Saccharomyces cerevisiae S288C: one gene and its partners. The protein of the gene in region 3 interacts with the protein of the main gene of each other region in a biochemical or structural test. Each region holds a gene or a part of one and is shown on either strand. Other genes may lie near its edges.

Evidence for each region.
Region 1: of the proteins of CNN1 (region 3) and MPS1, one has a biochemical effect on the other in vitro, tested with the Saccharomyces cerevisiae proteins (2 studies listed by BioGRID).
Region 2: the proteins of CNN1 (region 3) and KRE28 interact in a test that uses a peptide from one of them, tested with the Saccharomyces cerevisiae proteins (one large-scale study listed by BioGRID).

Annotation. Positions count from the first base shown.
Region 1 is NC_001136.10:399,302-406,769, forward strand, and holds MPS1 (serine/threonine/tyrosine protein kinase MPS1), read right to left. Parts: upstream 3,991-7,468; coding exon 1,696-3,990; downstream 1-1,695. Other genes in the region: ARP2 (actin-related protein 2), read left to right, coding at 39-60, 184-1,337; MRX9 (Mrx9p), read right to left, coding at 4,394-5,656; putative serine/threonine protein kinase RTK1, read right to left, coding at 6,043-7,468. UniProt on the Saccharomyces cerevisiae protein: Involved in mitotic spindle assembly checkpoint signaling, a process that delays anaphase until chromosomes are bioriented on the spindle, and in the repair of incorrect mitotic kinetochore-spindle microtubule attachments.
Region 2 is NC_001136.10:1,497,241-1,504,472, forward strand, and holds KRE28 (Kre28p), read right to left. Parts: upstream 3,314-7,232; coding exon 2,156-3,313; downstream 1-2,155. Other genes in the region: APA2 (bifunctional AP-4-A phosphorylase/ADP sulfurylase), read right to left, coding at 1-528; CAB1 (pantothenate kinase), read left to right, coding at 992-2,095; HSP31 (glutathione-independent methylglyoxalase), read right to left, coding at 4,207-4,920; FIT1 (Fit1p), read right to left, coding at 6,074-7,232.
Region 3 is NC_001138.5:241,985-249,052, forward strand, and holds CNN1 (centromere-binding protein CNN1), read right to left. Parts: upstream 2,176-7,068; coding exon 1,090-2,175; downstream 1-1,089. Other genes in the region: MRX20 (Mrx20p), read left to right, coding at 14-25, 98-1,015; BNA6 (nicotinate-nucleotide diphosphorylase (carboxylating)), read right to left, coding at 2,295-3,182; RMD8 (Rmd8p), read left to right, coding at 4,162-6,150; alpha-ketoglutarate dehydrogenase subunit KGD4, read left to right, coding at 6,539-6,910. UniProt on the Saccharomyces cerevisiae protein: Component of the kinetochore, a multiprotein complex that assembles on centromeric DNA and attaches chromosomes to spindle microtubules, mediating chromosome segregation and sister chromatid segregation during meiosis and mitosis.

The DNA of each region.
Region 1 (7,468 bases), on a different chromosome or scaffold from region 3:
AAATCACAGTAATAAACTAACAAAACTATATAATAATAATGGACCCACATAATCCAATTGGTATGTTGTTGATATTTTTAGTGTTTGTGGAGGCAATTGAGCTCGGTGCCCCTTTTGGCTTTGCCTCTTTTGCATTTTAGTTCTTTTACCCCTATATTATTAATACTAACCATCTCGATATAGTCCTTGATCAGGGTACTGGTTTCGTCAAAATTGGTCGTGCTGGCGAGAATTTCCCAGATTACACGTTTCCTTCTATTGTTGGTAGACCCATCTTGAGGGCGGAAGAACGTGCCAGCGTTGCTACACCATTAAAGGACATTATGATTGGTGATGAGGCAAGTGAAGTTCGCTCTTATCTGCAAATATCTTATCCTATGGAAAACGGTATTATTAAGAATTGGACAGATATGGAACTTCTTTGGGATTACGCCTTTTTCGAGCAAATGAAACTACCATCCACCTCCAACGGTAAGATTTTACTAACGGAACCTCCAATGAATCCGCTGAAAAATAGGGAAAAAATGTGTGAGGTAATGTTCGAAAAATACGATTTTGGCGGAGTTTATGTTGCCATCCAAGCTGTTCTAGCATTGTACGCACAAGGTTTGTCTTCAGGAGTCGTCGTCGATTCCGGTGACGGTGTTACTCATATAGTCCCAGTTTACGAATCTGTCGTTTTGAGCCACTTAACAAGAAGATTAGATGTTGCGGGTAGAGACGTTACTAGGCATTTGATTGATCTGCTTTCTCGTCGTGGTTATGCATTTAACAGAACTGCAGATTTCGAAACTGTGCGTCAGATAAAGGAAAAATTATGTTATGTTTCATATGATTTAGACCTAGATACAAAATTGGCTAGAGAAACAACCGCCCTTGTGGAATCGTATGAGTTACCAGATGGCAGGACAATCAAAGTGGGACAAGAGAGATTTGAAGCACCAGAATGTTTGTTCCAACCTGGTTTGGTTGACGTTGAACAACCTGGCGTGGGCGAGCTGTTATTTAATACTGTGCAATCGGCTGATGTTGATATCAGAAGTTCCCTGTATAAGGCCATTGTTCTTTCAGGTGGTTCAAGTATGTACCCAGGGCTGCCTTCGAGATTAGAGAAAGAATTGAAACAATTATGGTTTAGTAGAGTTTTACACAATGACCCTTCAAGACTTGATAAATTCAAAGTTAGAATTGAAGATCCTCCAAGGAGAAAGCATATGGTTTTCATTGGTGGTGCCGTTTTAGCTAGTATCATGGCTGATAAAGACCACATGTGGTTGTCTAAGCAAGAATGGCAAGAAAGCGGGCCATCTGCAATGACTAAATTTGGTCCAAGATAGATTTGAACTTTATTGATCCAAAAGAATTAATAAAAAAGTTTAAATCTACGAATGAAAAATGGAAATGGAATAATATAAACTTATATATAAATGTAATAAGTTAATAAGGCACAATTGTTGAACAAGCAATCAAAATATAATATTTCACTGAGCGCCGTTAGAGGATAGTTATCCTTTTCTTGGTATTTCAAGTATTCAGTGTCTGTGTCGAAAAATTGATTGATGATTTATTTAAATGAATATATATAAATATGTAAAAAAGAGTTGATCAAAGTAAATAAATCAGTACATGCATGGCAAACTCTAAATGTATTTATGTTCATAACTGGCACATGCTTTTCTTCCTTATGCGGCTCTTCTAAATTTTGTAATCTGCAAATTTCCTTAAAACAGTGTCTACCACATCATTGAGATCATCTTGTGATATATGAGGCTTCTCAGAGCCATATCTAACGGCATTCCTAATAAGGTCTTCCATAATCGATCCGGATATCATAAAAGGTTGAAGGAAAGTGCTACTCAGGACTTTATCCACAGTCCATCTTTTGTCTGGGTTCCTGTACAGACATGCTTTCATTAATTCAATGGCAGACTTTGGAATCTTTTCATTATTGCTAGTATGTTCAGGAAATGGGATTTTCACATCAGGATTCATAATAGCCAACAGCCTATTTTGGCCTTGGAAACTGCCATATGGGGGTTTCCCGTAAATCATCTGATATATAATACAACCGCATGACCACATATCAGATGGTCTCCCCACTTTCCACTTGTTTCCCTCATGTTGGTTCTCACTATTTTGTGTGTAATTCATAGCAACTAGTGCTTCTGGTGCCATATAATTTGGAGTCCCAATTTGAGTTTCACGATATATATTCACCGTATGTTCCGGTACCGCGTTTGCTATACCAAAATCAATGATTTTTAAGATACCTTTCACTAAAACAAAATTTGCAGGTTTTAAATCCGAATGAACTATGCCCGCATCATGAACTACTTTAATGCACAGCAACATTTCCTTTGTATAGAATCTAACAAAATTAAAATCCAGTGGCATGCCGCTTCTTTGGTTAAGGATTTGTGACAAATCATGATCACCACATTCCATTATCAAATACAATAAACCATCCCCCATTTCATAATCTAGTAGTTGGATTACACGCTTTTGGTCTTTCAATTTTTCCAGAAGTTCTATTTCTCCTTTGAATCCATCAATACTTGAATCGTCAAAAGCGTCAAAAGACACCCTTTTGAGCGCGTATACCCTATTGCCAGATCCTTTCACCTTGTAAACTCTGGAGGATCCACCTCTACCCAAAAGTTCTATTTTTTCGTACTGGGAGTCATTTACTGTAATTATATTTCTATTATTCGATAAAGAAGCGGACTTTGCAGGTTCAACAATTTCAACTTTCTTGGTGACTGGAGGTTTGGGAGCAGGTCGATGGTAAAATACTTCTAGATTTTTACTGTTTATATTCTCATTCGTTATTGCATCATCCAATGATCGTTTTAGTCTCTTATTCTCTTGTTGAAGGAGATTATCAGCGTGATTTGCATTTATGCTTATGTTTCGCAGTACTTCTCTTTTTTCGGAGTCGGAATCTTTATTTCTGGAAATTCCTTTATAAATTTTATGAATTGGGCTGTTGAAATTGCTGTTATTGCTAGTATCAATATTCTCCTTGAGAGCTCTTCTTATTTCGATCGATGACTTAGATGAAGATGATCCAGTAGAAACTTTTCGCCTGGGTTGAGAACCATTATTGGATGTTATAGAATTGTCCTTGTTTGCCAATAAGTTGTTACTAGAAAGTGAAGAGGAAGAAGACCTACTTTTATAAAGCAATTCTCTGGAACTATGTTTTCGGAGTGCTGCTTGTCTATTTTCTTCTCTTTGTTTATCAAAGTAGATTTGAGATATTAGTGGAAGGTCACTTGTGGGAAGATTATGTTTTTTAATATACTGGATAGGATTCAAATCTCCAAAATCAATTGAATCATAATCCGTATTTCTCTTCGTTTCTTTAAAGTTTGTTTGGTGAGAATCCTCAAGTGGTAATTCCACTGTCTCCCTTGCATTTATTGGCTGGTTTGGAGAGTTAGGCACATCCTCATCAAAGATATTTGTCAAAGTCATCGCTCTCTTTGCAGGACCCAGCTTCGTTGTCCTATTGGATATTAAAAATCTCTTACTTCTCCTTTCAGCATACTTTGCCGTAATATCTTCTTTCATATTTTGTCGCAAATTCCTTATCCTTTCAAAACTCTTATCAAGACTATTTCCAACATTTATCTCTATGTCACTAGTGTTCATCGTCGTCATGCTAGTCTGGTGATTATTTCTCAGATATCGTCCGAACAAGGTTGAATGCGATGAGGTACTAGTATGACCGGATGTCAAATTGCCCATTGACGGTGGGGGGTGACTCCTTGATGAACTCCTGTCCATTTCTTCTAATCGATTTGCGATCTTGTCATTATTATGACTTGATAATATCTCTGATGCTGAAGTTTTTTCTGTGTGGGAAAGTAAAGCTGATCCGAAATTGCTTAGTTTTGGAGGCGTAGTGAACTCTTCGTCATCTGAAAACTGTCGTGTATTAGTTCTCGATTTTAAATCCACATAATCATGGAATGAGTTTGTTGACATGTTTGTTTTGAGATCATCCAGTTCTTGCAGAAACAATTTATTATTTTGGTTGTAAAGCTACTTCTATAAACAACTGCAATATTCCTATTCAGACTTCAGTGGGCTGGGTCAAGTAGGCTTCTATAAATTTTGTAGGTTACTATTAATATAGTAGATCTTAAATTCTCTTTAAGCTTGCCTTCACATAAACATCACTATTACTCTTTGCAACCCTTGGTAGTTTTTTTTTGGTTTTGTTTACTATTTCTAATTGATATTATCATTTAATACGATGGAAGTGACACCAAAAATTATTTTGTGTCACTGCACACCATAAATAAAGGTATTGGTCAGAATATATAAACATGTATGATATATAAATTGTGGCATCACAGTAATGCTCAAACAAAAACTTTAATGTTCTTTACTCTTTTAGGGTGTATTCAGTGTTTTTGTCGTTTATTTTTGAAATGTTATATTTTGAAAAGAATTCTCCAGAATCACCATTTGTTGTGATAACAAAGTGTTTTGATAGTAGCGTATTTACACTTTTGATGGCAATAATTGTGTTAAGGGTTTTGCTGCTGTTAGAGGTTTCACTTTCTTGTAATATCTTGAAAAAATCAGCCTTCGAATAAGCTCCGCCATTGAACATTATTGCAGGAAAGGATTCGTCTAAAATAATGACATATACGTCTGCAATATGCTTCTTGCCCTCGAGTTTTTTTGAAGGGTTTAGCGGTAAATTTTTCATTGAGTCTAAATACAACTTGTATCGAACACTGGAAAATATGAAAGTTTGGAATTTTCTGAGTTCACTTCGGCAATTATCAATATCGAGTTCCAAGTCATAGGATTCTTTGATCCATTTCTCGACGCTGTCTCCTAAAAAGTAGGATCTTATTCCCAGTTCGTTCTTGGTGAAGGACTCCAACACTCTTTTCTGCAGGAAACTTAGAAACTGCTTTCTGGTTTCTTCTTGCTTTACTAAATCAACATTCAAACCTTTGGCAAACTCGTTTGGAATTCCCATCCTGGAAGATATCTCTTTCCAACTCTGAACCATAGGTTGTAATTGTAATGATCTCATGGTGGGTAATGTTATTTTCAATTTTGTTTTCGGTAAGGAGGTCAAGACATCTTTGTAAAAGATATTTTTCTGCCATTTTTTGAATTGTTTAAAAAAAAAGAACATAATAAGAAGGGGAAAAAAAAAGTGAAAAATTAAGGGAATAACGACTATCGTTGATGTTAGAATGAATGTGAAGATACTTGCAGTTGCAAATATGATAAAAAATGGGGAGACTTTATATACTTTCACAAACGGCTTGTTACCGTTCTTTGGTGACTTCGAAGAAAATATAAACTTTATTTCTGCACGTCGTGACGAATGGAAGGCTCTTTTACCAACCAACCTGGATGTCGAGCTTTTCAGACTGGATAGAAATTGGTGAGTGGTAGAACAATAATTAGAAGAAATGCATGAAAGCTTACGAAACTGGAAACTTTCTCCTCGATATTTTGGAATTGCGGGAGATGTAATCGCCGAAGGCACTGGTTTAGGAAAAGCCCTTAATATTCCTGGCAAGTACATATTGAAACCCTTTCCATTATTGAGACTATTGAGCGTAACGCTGTTCATAAGCTCCCTTGTCCTACTGGCTAATCCCACTGGAACTTTGAACATTTTTTCCTACTCATATGTGGTTATGGTGGTCTTATTTATCTGCGCTAAATCACTTTTCAATTATTCTTTGCAGTTTATAGGGGAGGAGACTTCCTCTTTGTAAAATCTAATAGGGCGTGTTCACAATTTTATGCGTCGGGTGACTTCAATTTGGCGCCCGTTGAGATTATCTAAAAAATGCTTTTATTTATTTAAGCGCTTTTTGTTTTGACGAATGTATTTATGTTTTTGTATATATATGAGCGTTTTTTTTTTCCAGATTTAACTAGTTTTCTTTTTCACCTGTATGCACACCATCTTTTATTCCTATATAATGCCTTTTATAGTACTTTGAATCTTCTATATACAATTTTTTAGGTTTTATCTTTTAAAAAGTGTTTATTTCATTAATTTGAATCTTTATTCCCGTGTTGCTTGGTCAGCTCATTCAACTCCTCCTCAGTGACCAAGTGATGCTTATGATTCTTTGGTTTTTCAACCAAATCGCCAGATGTAGGGTCAACTTCACAGGAGGGGACGGATACAAGCCAATCATCCTTTACCACGTCATTCATTAAAACTCTTTGCTTTGGTTCTAAAGCCAACATTCTGCCTATTATTGTCCGTGAATGTCTTGGCAGTAGCCTTAATATTTTATTTGGCCCCCGAACTATATCATCTTCGTCCTCAGGTTCCTCAGTAAATAACCTAAATGAGTTGAAGCTCTTTTTTGGAGCCTTCCAAGGAAATCTTTTAAGGACCATACAGTAAAATATAATAGCGATAGACCACACATCTGCTACTCTTGGATCGTAGGATGTTTGTTTCAATAACTCAGGAGCCAAATAAGGGTCAGAACCCACGATTCCATGTGATTTTACAATGGTATCTTCGTAAGGGTATTGGAACACTACAGCGCTCCCAAAGTCAATCAGTTTCAAGATGCCATCTTTAGTGACGACACAATTGTCCAATTTTAAATCCCTATGAGCTAAGCCCATAGAGTGCAGGTAATTAACGCCGTGGCACAGCTGCTTGAAGTAACAGTTGACTTCATCTTGTGTCATTAGGTTACTCATGACGAGATTAAAAAAATCATATGGCGCATACTCCATTACTAATAAATAGGTGTCACCTTCAGTCAACATATCTAGGGTTTCAACGATATTTTCGTGGTGCAGCGTGGAACCAATACAAAATTCAGTGGTAACCTTCTTAGAATAATTAGCTAATTGAGACTGATTAGTTCCTTCATTGTTTAAGTGTGGTTTTCTGAACATTTTGCAAGCAAATAACTTGCCGTCTGTTCTTTCTACTACGGACACTGAACCGGAAGCTCCTTCGCCTAATTTTCTACCAGGAATACCATATTTTTCTAATAGCTCCACTGGGTTATCTGTTTCGTATAACGCTTTTCCGTTACTTTCTACTATATTTTCATTGGTGTTCAAATTGAGCTTCGGTTTTGTAGGGGTGGATCCACGGTTGTGATGGTGGTGATGATGATGGTTATCGTGATAATCATTATGAATTTTTTTGAAAAATCTTGTTAATCTCAAGGATTTTTTCTTTCTTGATGAGGTATCATCACTACCGCTTGAAGAATTATGCTGTAGTTCCACGGACCCAGGGGTGGAGGCTTGAGAGTCCATGAAGTGTTTGTCTTCAATCTGTTTCTGTAGTATCTCTACGGGATGCATATGTGCCTGGTATGATAAATTCGAAGAGGGTGTATCAGATTTTGCAGAAGACACTGTAGAAATGTTGCTATGAGCTGTAGAGCGAACGGGGTGAGGATGGTGGAAAGCATCTTTTGAGCCTTGATGAATGTAG
Region 2 (7,232 bases), on a different chromosome or scaffold from region 3:
GTCCTGAAAAGGTATAAATTTTTCAGGCATTTGCATGATCTGCAAGTGTTTGTGATCTTGTGAGGAACCGCTATGAGGTCCACAATTATAAAAGACCAGATACCTTTCACAAGTGACATCATCGTCCTTGTCTCCTTGGAGAGAACAGAGCACATTATAAGCAGTCATCAAGTCACTTGGCGTCAAAGCAGATCTCTGGTCTTTAAACTCGCTTGTCACTAGGAGACTATGTTCAGGGACCACAGGAAATTTGTTGAGTAGCAGCTTATATTCTCCGTCACCATTTAGATCTTCAGTCACCACTAGTTCTTCGTCGGGATTGGCGAACGGGTCCTCCGCCTTTGAATCGCTATTCTTGTTAGCGTCTGGCTTAAGTGCCAAAGATGGAGCAAATGTCACCCAATATTGTGTCGTCGTTTGAGGATCTTTCAACTTCTTGGATTCTGCATGCGTTACTTTCAGATGCCCATTCTTTTTGGCTGCAACGAACTTATCGTGGATTTTCTGTTTCAAATTCTCTTCAATCATCTTTGTCTTCCTATTTTCTCTGACCCAGGGGCTCGGTTGCCTTTTAATTTTATTATATTTCAATAGTTCAACACATTTTCGAAACAGGCAAAAGCTTTACACGTGACGTTGGTATGATCGAGTATTATTCATATGGTCGTTCATGATTGCGTATTTACGACAGTATCTCAAAAAGTTTCACTCAAATGCGGAGAACTATCCGCGATCTACGCATTGAGCTCCTTTAGTTTGTAATTGCCGGGACCGATTTTTTTTTTTTTACTTCTGACTGTTCCACTTAGGAATCTTACATGACGTTAAACGACTAGCGCAGTTCCCCCAATATCGGCCGAAATTTTATTTCACCAACATAACGATGAGTAAAAAGAACTTATGTTTCTGAACAGATTGATCATTAAAACTAAAAAACTACCAGAATAAAGAAATTTATAGTTCCAATTGAGTGCATGCGAAAAGAATCGCAATGCCGCGAATTACTCAAGAGATATCTTACAATTGCGATTATGGCGACAATACTTTCAACCTTGCTATTGATATAGGAGGCACTCTGGCTAAAGTAGTCTTCTCGCCTATACACAGTAACAGGCTGATGTTCTACACCATTGAAACAGAGAAAATTGACAAGTTCATGGAACTTCTGCATTCTATTATCAAAGAACATAACAATGGATGCTATAGAATGACTCATATAATTGCCACTGGTGGTGGCGCCTTCAAGTTTTATGATTTGTTGTATGAAAATTTTCCTCAAATAAAAGGTATATCGAGGTTCGAAGAAATGGAAGGCTTAATTCACGGTTTAGACTTTTTCATTCATGAGATTCCCGATGAAGTTTTCACTTACAACGATCAAGATGGCGAAAGGATAATACCCACCAGTTCCGGCACCATGGACTCAAAGGCTATCTACCCATACCTTCTAGTCAATATAGGGTCGGGTGTCTCAATATTAAAAGTCACCGAACCAAACAATTTTAGTAGAGTAGGCGGTTCTTCACTGGGAGGAGGAACTCTTTGGGGCCTATTATCACTAATTACTGGCGCTCAAACTTATGATCAGATGCTCGATTGGGCACAAGAGGGTGACAATTCTAGCGTTGATATGCTAGTTGGAGATATTTATGGAACAGACTATAATAAAATTGGTCTAAAGTCGTCAGCTATTGCAAGTTCATTTGGTAAAGTTTTCCAAAATAGAATGACATCTAACAAATCTTTGGAAAACAACGAAAATAAATTATATTCCTCACATGAGTCTATTGAGAAAAACAATGGACAAATGTTTAAGAATCCTGATATTTGTAAAAGTCTTCTATTCGCCATCTCCAACAATATTGGGCAAATAGCTTATTTGCAAGCTAAAATCAATAATATACAGAATATATACTTTGGCGGATCTTATACCAGAGGACATTTGACTACCATGAACACTTTGAGCTACGCTATTAATTTTTGGTCACAAGGATCAAAGCAAGCGTTTTTTCTCAAACATGAAGGCTATTTGGGTGCAATGGGTGCTTTCCTAAGCGCGTCTCGTCATTCATCTACTAAGAAAACAAGTACGTAGATAGATTTCACTTTTTTTTTGGCTAGTAATATTACATACATCTTTATCTAGATAATTAATTTATTCGTTTGTTAGCTCGCTTATAATGTCATCCATTACCTCAAAGATTTGCACCTTAGTATTATTTCTGTACTTATTGTTAAATTTACTGCTCGCTTCAATGTCTGTGACTATATTGCCACCCGCTTTTTGTAAAATAGTAATGTCTTTTATCATTGGCCTTTTTAAATCGCTTAAAGATATGGCAATTATATATTGCATATCCTTTATTTCAAATTGTACTTTTCCAAGCTGGGTAAAGATTTCAAAATTTAATATAGTCGTCTTTGACCCTTTGAGTAAAAAGTGCTTTTCCCAAAATTTTGTTAGCAAATTAATTGACTGACATAATTCTGATTCATTGGCCATTAAATGTCCAGAATCCTCTTTTTTTGATTGCTCTCCTTTTCGTATTATTTGATTTTTAACTTCATGCATTTCCTTGAGCTCTTTCGTTAACCTTTGATTTTGCTTCTGCAAAAATAGTAGTTTTTGCCAATTCGTGTATGTCTCTTCCACAAAATCATCTGAATCACTTGAATTTAATATCGTATCTTTTTCTCCCATCATATTCTTATCTTCTTTGTTTGTTAAATTTTTTAGTTCATTGAGCGAATCCCAACAATTTTCAATATCACCAGTGGCTTCCAGATACAACTCATTTATTAAATCTTGCCTTTCTGCAAAGTTGTGACCGGTCTCTTGGATTTCAGCTTTGATTTGTTCTATTTTGCTTTCTTGAACATTCGAAATTTCTTCCTTTAAATCATTAACTCTTTCATTAAGTTTTACAAATTGGGGGTCTTTTTCGGAATCTAACTGCAAAGGTTTCGTCGAGGACAAAGTAAACCTGAAGAAATAGTCCAATGTCTCCTGTTCCAAGTAAGTCAACTTAAGTAACTCCATTAGTTTATTGAACTCCTTGATTTTTGCACTCAGAATTTTTGGATTTACAAAGACCTCCTTTCCCTCTACGTCTAAGCTCTCATCGTTCCTAAGAGGATTCACAAACTTGTTCTCTTCATTTATTGCCAGAATGCTGGAAGTAATTTCGTGCAATGTATTTTTGAGCCTTAGTTCTTGGTTATTTAGCACTTCTTCGCTGCTCACAGCAATAGAATCCTCAATATCCGTTAACACGGTCTCATAGTCCTTTATGCTCGCACTCCCTGTATCCATTTCTTCACTAATTTTGTTTTAAAGCTAGTCTATATGTTTTTTTCTATTGGTTGAAGTTTTTTTGATGCTGCTCATTCTCCTTGTGTTTATAAATAATGAGTTACGCGATCTTCACTTTTTTTACATGTGCTTATATTTAACTGCCTAGTTCCCAAGCGATGGCATTAAAGACAGCCAAATGCTAATTTCTGGTTGAATAACCTAATACGTATGCCCTAAATTATTTTTCCTTTTTAATCTGGAAGATATTGTTTATCCGGATGATATAACGTTCAATTTAATTGATGGGCATTACTAAATATTTTCAATATGACCAATTCGTGTCGACATTCTGCCATAATTAACCTGAGAAAAAAACATTTTTCGTGATCATTTAGCAAGAAACCGCAAGGAACAGCTCACTAAGATGCAAATAACCATTAGATAACTGAAACACACCTACAATGTCCCACATGAATAAACCCTTTAGGAAGCATCGGCAGCTGACAGAAATACCAAAATGAAAAAAAAAAAATTTAGAAAGTTTTATGTATAGTTTTACATATTGCATAGATGATTTGCAGCGTAACGACGCTAATGCTTTCTTCTCCATTCTCATTGATATTAACGTTGGCTAGATAAATGCTGTGCAACGGAGTGGCTGAAAAATAAATTGTAGCACCTTGTTGGAGACCAAATGTAGTCTTCACTATTAACCTCTAGCTAAAGCAGATAAAAGATAAAGATTATAAACTTTGGTTATTGGAAGACCCATCTCAGACATGTGTTTCCCCAATATCCAAATATTTCAACGTATTAACAATGAGGTACATCCCTCGTACTCAATAACGCCTCCTAAAGTTCCTTACATCTATATAGTAGTACAAAGGAAATTCTAATTATCAACCTTTGGCTCAGTTTTTTAAAGCGTCGATGGATCTTACGGCAGTGGAGTGCGCAGAAGCAGGATTCACACCTGTTACCAGTCTTCCGTCAGTAATAGAGTAATCATCCCAGGGCCCAACCGGAGCTAAATACTTAGCGCCATATTTTTTAGCAACATCTTCAACGGTTGCCAAATTCTTGGCTTTCAAAATACTATCAACACCCAAAATGGTTTCACCAACATCAGTAAAACCGGTGATAGATTTACCTTCGATCAATGGTCTTCCTGTTTTTTTGTCTGTTAACCCATCAAAAATAGCAGGACCGTGACAAACAGCTGCGACAACACCACCGTTAGCATAAATTTCGGAAGCAATGTCCTGCAAGTCTTTAGCCTTAGGATAGTCAAATAAGGTACCGTGGCCTGCAGATGCAAAAAAAATTTGGTAATCATCGGCATTCACCTCTTTTGGTGTCTTAATTTTAGCCAATGTCTTGTTGAAATCTGAGTCTTTATTTTTAAAATCCGTTTCGTCTTGACCATTTAGAAAATCTTTGGCTAAGGAATGCTCATCCCAACCAAATTTTCCGGTTTCAGATACAAAATCGACTTCAAAACCTTCTTTTCGGAATGTGTTGAAGGGATGTAAGGCTTCTACAACAAAAACACCGGTCTTGGCGCCGTCACTGTAGAATACATCGTTATATGAGGTAAGAGCGAGTAAAACTTTTTTTGGGGCCATTATAAATTTGTTTGAGTTTTATCTGTGTAATTAGCCAGTGGGAAGTACTTAAAAATGCCGTTAATAAAATTTAGCGGATGATAAAGAAATGAATGGTTCTCCTTATGGCTGTTTATATATCTGATTTAAAGGGTAACGGAAACCGGAAGCAATAATGGAACCGTGAAGCCATCCCTTGAAAAAATTTTCCATTTCTTTCATGAAGACTATGTACATGCCCCTTATGCCAAGCTTTTTGATTTTCAGGCTAGGAATGAGTAACGTTAATTCTCTGTATACATTCGCCCAGATTTCTTTACGGGATTTATGGATCCGTCAGAACAAAAAGCCGCCTCCCATGGATATCCTGCGTATTAGTCAGCATTATTTCTTTTATTCCGTAGCAGCTAAAAAATCTCCTAGAAAGAACGATCCTATCTGTCGCAACGGTACGTCGTGATTTTTTTATGGGCTTATTCTTCCGAAAGTGTTCATTAAAGCATTTGGTGCATGTTTAATGTTCTATTTTTAATACACGTAGTAAACTTCGTGTTTTCTTCTCTCTGACCTAAATTATTACAGCCATATATAACTTTTTTTTTTAAATTCGGATAACTGGCACAGTACCAAAAGCTAAAATTTCTCACAAAAACATAATTATATGACAAACTGAACTACTCATTGCTACAGGTAATTTCAATAAAATGCGCTCAATGAAGTTGTGAATTTGCTTGCTTGTCTTTCTCGACCTTCTTTCAGTATTATACTCCATTTGAATCTGATCACAAACACGAAAGTTCATTTCTTGTTTTGAACTATAAAATCATCATGTCATTTTTTAACTTTTATTTTCCTTGGCGTCAGATAAAACAAATACCCACTCTCACCTTTTAAAAAGCAAGAAATAAATAAAATGGTTATTTTTGAAAAGTCATATTTAACAAGTGAAATAGACATTGTTTTTAGATTATTTTAATCAACACCTGATATTTTCTTGATATAATATTACATACTGGTACATTCTTATAGACAGCCAGTGTCACGCAGACAAATAACATTGCGGACATAAGCTTTATCAACTATGATGAAATACTTAATTCACAATGCCATTTTGAAAAGTAAGACCACGGAGAGATCAGAAAGGTTGATTCTGCGCATCTGTCGTTAGCAGAAATTACAAAAAGATAACGGCAGCGAGCGCAGCGCCCATCAGACCCGTACCAGCGGCGATAGAATCAGCCGCACCCGTGTAATTCACGATTTGAGGAGTTGTGGACGACTTACCGTTAGTGAAAATACCAGCGGTAGTGGTTTGAACTCTTGTAATAGAGGATACCATTTTTGTGCTTGCAGAAGAACTTGATGACCAATTGTTACTTTCATGGGTACGAACAGATTGGGCATCCCTAGAAGAACTCTCTGTGTAAGCTTGCCCAATTCTAGTAGGAGTAACAATAGTAGCGCTTGACTCAGAGGAGGTGGTAGTAGATGCTACAACTGCAGACGTGGATTTAGAATTAGAGGAATTTTCAGTAGTAGTAGAAGAAAAAGTTGGCACAACAGAAGAGGTTTTTGCAGCAGAAGAAGTCTCAATAGGAGAAGAAGCCTGGACAGAAGATGAAAGAGAAGTCTGAGTAGGAGATAAGCTTTTAACAGAAGTGGTCTCGATAGTAGAGGAAGAAGAAGAAGTCTCAACAGCAGAAGTCTCAACAGCAGAAGAAATCTCAACAGCAGAGGAAGTCTCAACGGCAGAGGAAGTCTCAGCAGCAGAGGAAGTCTCAGCAGCAGAAGAAGTCTCAACAGCAGAGGAAGTCTCAACAGCAGAGGAAGTCTCAACAGCAGAGGAAGTCTCAGCAGCAGAGGAAGTCTCAACAGCAGAAGAAGCCTCCACAATAGAGGCCTCAGTAGTGGAGGGAATTTCAATAGCAGAAATACTAGAAGTTGCAACGGTGGAGGCAGGAGCGCGTTCACCCTCACCAGTCCATACGAAAGTAGCGTCCTGGGTGACGGTCTTTGTGTAGACATGTCCATTTTTGGTGGCTGTAATAGTGGTAGTTATACTCGAACCAGATCCTTCATCAGTAGAGGCAGAAGGTTCAGCAACAGATGTTACTGGAGAAGCAGCTGTTTCGACAGTAGCAACGGTTGAGACAGGAGCACGTTCACCCTCACCAGTCCATACGAAAGTAGCGTCCTGGGTGACGGTCTTTGTGTAGACATGTCCATTTTTGGTGGCTGTAATAGTGGTGGTTATACTCGAACCAGACCCTTCATCAGCAGAGGTGCCCTGAGCAGAGGTAGAAGGTTCAGCAACAGATGTTTCAGCGGCAACA
Region 3 (7,068 bases):
AACAGCACCCGACATGGCTAACCAGGTAAGTAGTAAACTGTTTCGTTCCAAGACGCTAATGCTATTTTATTAACGCTCTCTTTTTTCTCGTTTGCAGAACTCTGACCTTTACAAGCAAATCACTGCCGGCAGTGTAGCTGCTGTGTTTCAAACGACAATGACATACCCATTTGAGTACTTAAAGACTGGTTTACAATTGCAACCGAAGGGTACCGCTTTCGAAATCATTTTACCTCAGATTAAGTCGTACTTTGTTGGCTGCTCTGCCCTAAACGTGGCCGCATTTGGTAAGACTATTTTAAGGTTCGTTACGTTCGACAAGTTATGCCACTCCCTGAATAATAACATTGATAATAATGATAATTTTCAAAGACTGACTGGTTATAACCTTTTGATCGCTGGTACGTTGACAGGAATAGTAGAAAGTTTGTTTATTATCCCTTTTGAAAACATAAAAACCACCCTTATCCAATCGGCGATGATCGATCATAAAAAATTAGAGAAGAATCAACCTGTAGTTAACGCAAAGGCAACCTTTCACAAGGTGGCGACTAAATCTACTCCTGTGGCTCGTATCGAGAAACTACTTCCAGCGGTAAAACACATGTATCAAACAAGAGGCCCTGCTGCGTTCGTCCAGGGAACAACAGCCACCATATTTAGGCAGATAGCTAACACCTCTATTCAATTTACTGCATACACAGCATTTAAACGGTTGTTACAAGCAAGAAACGACAAGGCATCCTCAGTAATAACGGGGTTAGCCACATCTTTTACACTCGTGGCAATGACTCAGCCCATTGACGTCGTAAAAACAAGGATGATGAGTCAAAATGCCAAAACTGAATATAAAAATACCTTAAATTGCATGTATAGAATATTTGTTCAAGAAGGCATGGCCACATTCTGGAAGGGCTCCATCTTTAGGTTTATGAAAGTCGGTATTTCAGGAGGCTTAACGTTCACTGTTTATGAACAGGTTAGTTTGTTACTAGGCTTCTCTTCCAGGTCTTGATAATTTTGTGGATCTTTTACTCTTTTCTGTACATAAATTGCCACTATTTAATTATTTTCTCTACGGTATCTTTTTTAGAACAAATAACTTTCAATTCTTGATTGAAGTTCTAAGGGAAGCAATTCGTGCGCGAGCTCAAACATATCATCAACGTTATTGATAATACCCATATCGATAAACGAATCTACCAATTCCTGTTTTTGTAACGTGCCGATTTTTTGTTTCAAGAAATCCATTATATTTAAAGATTCCTCCTGTATAGTAGACCACGTTTGTTTCGGCAATATTATCCTATTCTCATTCAAAAATTGCCTTGTAAGATGTTTTAGATCCATTATTTGCAGCGGTTTTATAGAAGAACGTCTCACCGCAGGGACATTTAAACGGATAGGATCGTTGCCTATATCATCCAAATTTTCGTCACTGGTGTTTTCAAACGAATAATCTTCGTTTTCTGCTTCTTCTGTCTCCTCTTTATCGTCGCTTGGTAAATCTTCAGATAGTGGTTCTTCCTGTTGCGTTATGGAAATTGGTACCGGATCACGTACTGGCGGTTCATCTACCTGATCCATTCCAATGCTTGGCGACGTGCGCAAAACTTCCATAGAGATACTGTTAGCTTTATCTGGAGAGTGCACTGTCAATTCATCCTCGTGTCCTGTCGTGGGAACATCTTGTATTATTATCGGGTCAATCTTCCTACTTTTCAAGCCTTTGTCTCTTTCCTGCAATTTTGCAAATACTGTTTGCGATAAGGAAGTATAATCAGGTTGCGTTTCATTGCCAATGTTGTTATCTGTCAGTTTCTCACTTCTGCTCCGAAGAAGCTCATTCTCCTCTGGTTGGCTCTCTTCGTACGCTAATTCATCTATTAGATTCCGTGCTTGAGTTTTATTAGTAGTTGTATCGTTGCCTTGTGATTTGCGTGCTAACACTTGGCTTAAGTCTTGTAAAAAACTTCGTACTTCGTTCGGATCTTTATTGAGGATGTCATGAGACTTAGTAGAAGCAGATAAAAGTTTTCTATAACCTGGCGTATTTCTGATCAGTACCTCATCCTTGAGACGTTGTTCTTCAAGGGCTCTCTCCCGAAAGGGGGTTCTGATCTCTGAGACTTCTGTATTCTCGTTGTTACCGGCGGCCTTCCTGGGAGTGCTCATTATTCATTTCTTATTTCGTTACTAATCGTCGTGTGTGTCATTAATCGGTAACGCGTAGCTTCTTAATCTTATTTAGAATATGTAAATAAAAAAAAGTAAAAATCGAAGCCTAAGCATTTTCAATGAGCCAGTTTCAATGAGAAATCAATCACTGGTGTGCCTTGATGAATGCTACTAGTGCTGTAAATGTCAATGTCATCGCACAAATACTCCTCGAGGTTGTCCAAATTCAAGCCTCCACTACATTCCAAGAGGAAATGCTTTTTACCATTCCATTTGTTCTTAAGACTTTGGGCGCACATTTTCAAACCGTCACCTTTGAAATTATCCAACATGATAACGTCTGCACCAGCTTCAATGGCCTCTGTGGCTTCATCTTCACTCAAACACTCCACTTCGATCTTCACAGCAAACCCGCACACGGCCCTGGCGTTCTTAACTGCGTTTGTTATAGAACCAGTAGCCCAAATATGATTATCTTTGAGCATGACCATAGAGGAAAGGTCGTATCTGTGCGTGTCGCAGCCACCTACAAGCATGGAATACTTTTCTAATCTACGTAAACCTGGTGTAGTCTTTCTTGTCCCCGCAATGGTCCCCTTGTAACCAGTCGAACGCGCCAAACTGATTATCTTATGTGAGGCGGTGGCAATTCCACTACTTCTACTAAGGATGTTCAAGGCGGTTCTTTCAGCTAATAGAATGTTTTTAGCGGGCCCAGTAATTTTAGCTACAACAATCTTACCAGAGTCATTCTTCGAAGGCTCCAAGAAGGAGCCTTCCTTAAACAACCACTCAACTTGCAATTCGCACTGATTAAAGACTTCTTGCGCAAAGGGGACACCACACAGCATACCATCCTGCTTACAGTACAAATTGGCCTCCTTTAGGTCGGAACCAACAACATATCCACCAAAATCAAAAGAAGGAACGTCCTCGCTCAGCCAATTGGTGACGTCTTGTCTCCATGCTCCATTAACGGGCAATAAGTGTTCATAAACAGGCATTTTTTTTTTTTGGTGTGTGTTCTTTCTGAGGATTGCGTTCTTTTTGTTGCGTTATTAAGTGGTGTCTTTAATTTTCGAATTTATGGCCCAAGATATACGAAAACTGCGGTAGGAGTCATGATAAATGGGGGCTCTTCAACCAACCGGCGTCACCAAAAGCAAAAATATCCTGGAGCGAAATATCACATTGTTTGTAACCAAGCTTGTACCTTTGACAAGTTAACTTACGTCTTGCCGGGGTTTGCTACTACGCATTCAAGTATATAAAACGTTGTGACACACAAGTTGATAGAAACCTCAGGATGTATAACTACAATTCTAGTTTCCATCTCATTAGTCCCAAATGACAATAAAAAAAATTACTGGCCATGGAAGATGACAAGCCGAATATTAGCTCCTTCGATCGAACTGTGCGTGGAGAAGAAGCTACTACTATTTAATAATTAGTATCCCGTGATTTTGAGCTGTCGCTGGCATTATGTACCTGACATTAGGTATTTAGGAAAGGTAGGGTAGATCAGTTTAGTACCTCAATGGGTGCGGAAGGTTAATCTTGAAAAATTTGCGATTAGTAGACAAGTTTATTCTCACAAGAACAAAATATTCAGTTCATTTCAGATATGATCGTGAAGGTGGAAATCTTTTTTTTAAAAATGAGAAGTGTGCCCAACAAAGAAGTAAAAGACAAGTTAGCTTTCTGTCATGCTTGAAAACTTTATGGAAGCCTGTGCATTGGCATTAGAGGCATCTCCGACAATCAGAAGAACACTTCTTGTTATTATAATTACCCATATATTTTTTTTTTTTTCAAATTGACTACTAGGAAAAAGTGACAATTTATAGTAAAACTGGCTAGAAAAACCTACAAGAAAAACAAAACCAGGTTAGGCATACATTAATACAAGATTATATCAATCGGAAGTTCGTATGCAAAATTGCATATGGAGCAAAGGAAAGGACTTCCATTTAAGACGACAGTATGAGTTATAAGGCTAACCAACCATCTCCTGGGGAGATGCCGAAAAGGTCACCTTCCATCCTGGTGACAGATGCAAGAACATCCAAGAATAGAATGAGTGCACCGTTCGCTGGACACGCTGCTGGTAGTAGGAAGAATATGGAAAACGCAGGAGTTACGAAGTCTCAAGGAGTTCGCTCTTCCGCTATTGGCCCTTCTCCGCTGCAGAGTTTTACTCATCCAAGAAGGCGATCGTCTGGCAGGTTTAGCGATATATCCATAGATAATATTCTTTCTGATAATTCAGATATTCCCTCTGCCAGAAGAGAGGAAAGGCTATCCAGCTCTTCAAGCGATAGGCCTCGCCAATATGAGCGGTTAAGTTCGCGTAGAAAGATGATCAATCCCCTGCCTCCAAGAACATCGAAGACGTCACAAAAGTTAGTGTTGATACCGGAAGACGACAACTTGAACCACTTTCAAACTCTACCAACGAACGCGCTGGATAGGCAAAGACCGAAAGTGGGCTCTATGAAGTCTAATTCCTTCGATCGGCTACCTCGATACTCAAAAGAAAAGTCCATGGCAAGAATCACCGCATATAATGTTGCTGATGGCTTCAATCTCAACCAATTGTATAAGTTTCTGCAGGAAACTCATGAGGTTTCACCAAGATTGTATGATGAGTGTCTATACGTTGCGTATACTTTGCCACTTCTACCAGGTAAAGGCGGTTTTAGAATCAAATCAAATTTATCTAAGAAAACAATGGGTGGAAAGACATTAATTGATAATTTAATTGATACAAGCGAACAGAGAGATCATCATTATGAATATTACTCAGGTGTGGAAACTGTGGAAGATGCAAATAATAATTACGAACTAGAAACCAGTGGAAATAACAATAACGCTAATCAAGACACCACAACAGTTCCCGATCATCTACCAAATCCAGTTGGTCAGCAAGACTCTTTTAATCCTATGGAACCACAATTTTTTGCGGAAGAAACTCCCTTAGAGATAGAGAAACGGGAAAGGACAGAAAGAATAAACATGCTGAAGAAGGAGGAAAACGACAGTGATGCAAGTTGTGGCAACGATAATAATAATAAAAATAATGATAAGAGTAAACTTTATGCTGTTGAGGGAAACGATCAGTATGTACAGTCCTCTCGTTCACCAGCTTCGCCATCATCAATATCTACGCCATCGCCACCATCTTCATCACAGAATGATTTTGATCGTGTATATAAAATGCATAGGGACAACGACCATGAAGGCAATGATAGACATGCAGAAATTTTCATTTTTCACTATGGCGTTATTGTTTTTTGGAACTTTACTGAAATTCAAGAGAAAAATATTCTTGGTGATATAACATTTGCAGATTATAAGAATTTAATGATCCGGCCGCTGGATGAACAAGATATTGAAACTGAACAATTCCATTTCGAATATGACAGAGATACCGAGAGACCGAGAATTTTCAATGATATTGTCACATTACGTTCAGGTGACCACATTATCGAGCTGACACTATCACATGCGATTGCGCAATCTTCGAAATTATCAAGGTTTGAATCCAGAATTTCGCCGATTTTAATATCAGTCACAAAACTACCTAAAAGACTAGCATTATATGGTACCCTTGGGTTAAAAAGGGAACAGCTTTTGAAAAAATCAGGGAAGCTCTTTAAATTGAGAGTGGATGTTAACCTTTCATCCACCATATTGGATACACCCGAGTTTTTTTGGTCGTTCGAACCAAGTTTGCATCCACTGTACGTGGCAATGAGGGAGTATTTAGAAATTGACCAAAGAGTACAAGTATTAAATGATCGTTGCAAAGTTTTCTTGGAATTCTTTGATATATGCGTTGACTCTGTTGCTGAAAGAAACATGGCTCGTGTTACATGGTGGTTTATTCTTGTCATTTTATTTGGAGTTATATTTTCATTAACAGAGATTTTCGTTCGTTATGTAATTATTCATCGTCATACTTCTACATAGATATTCATACACCCTTCTAGACGGCATTAAAAATAAATTAATGATATATTTAGTTATCAAGGTTTTTAGTCATATATTTCACCGTTATTACCATTCTTGGTCACGTGCAAGTAAAACCACTCGTTGATTGGCTCCCCTCAAGATTGCATTAAAAGTACAATAATATGACTAAGGGACTCGAATATGTAAATTCATCTTTCGCATCAACAAAGGAGAAAAAGACGATAGTGAAGACTAATATTTTAGCCAGATTGCAGTGTTTCAGTGATCTTAAAAGTCTTTTTCATTTCTAGCCGCATTGAATTCTTTAAAGCAAACCATTAAGGAGTACTTCCCCAGGTTTTTAACCGATAATAAGAGTAAGATAAAAGTACAAGAAGACAGGGAAATGATTGCTACACCTATAAGATTAGCAAAGAGTGCATATGAGCCGATGATAAAATTCGTCGGTACAAGGCATCCCTTAGTGAAGCATGCAACTGAGGTCGTTGTTCATCCTTGCGCTACCAACGGAATGTTACCTGGCAGCAAAGAGTGTATTCCAGTGAGTAAATTCATGGAAAATTATAAACCATTCCGTGTAGTGCCAATAAAGCATAGCGCTAATGCTGGTCTCAGCTCGTCAAAGACCTCTGTATTCGTTAACAGGCCATTGCAAAAAGATGAGCTTGCTTCCATTTTCGAGCTACCTGCTAGGTTTCGGTACAAACCTATTAACGAGCATGAATTGGAGAGCATAAATAGCGGTGGTGCATGGTGAAGGATAGATGCAGTAATATTATGATTTTTTTTTGTTATTTTATAGTTTCTTTACACATATCATTATATCTATGTAAAAACGTAGTTACTTAGGAAGAGAGAAGAGTGATGATATTATGAATTGAAAAATAAAAATAAAATGAGTATTTAATGAAGGTG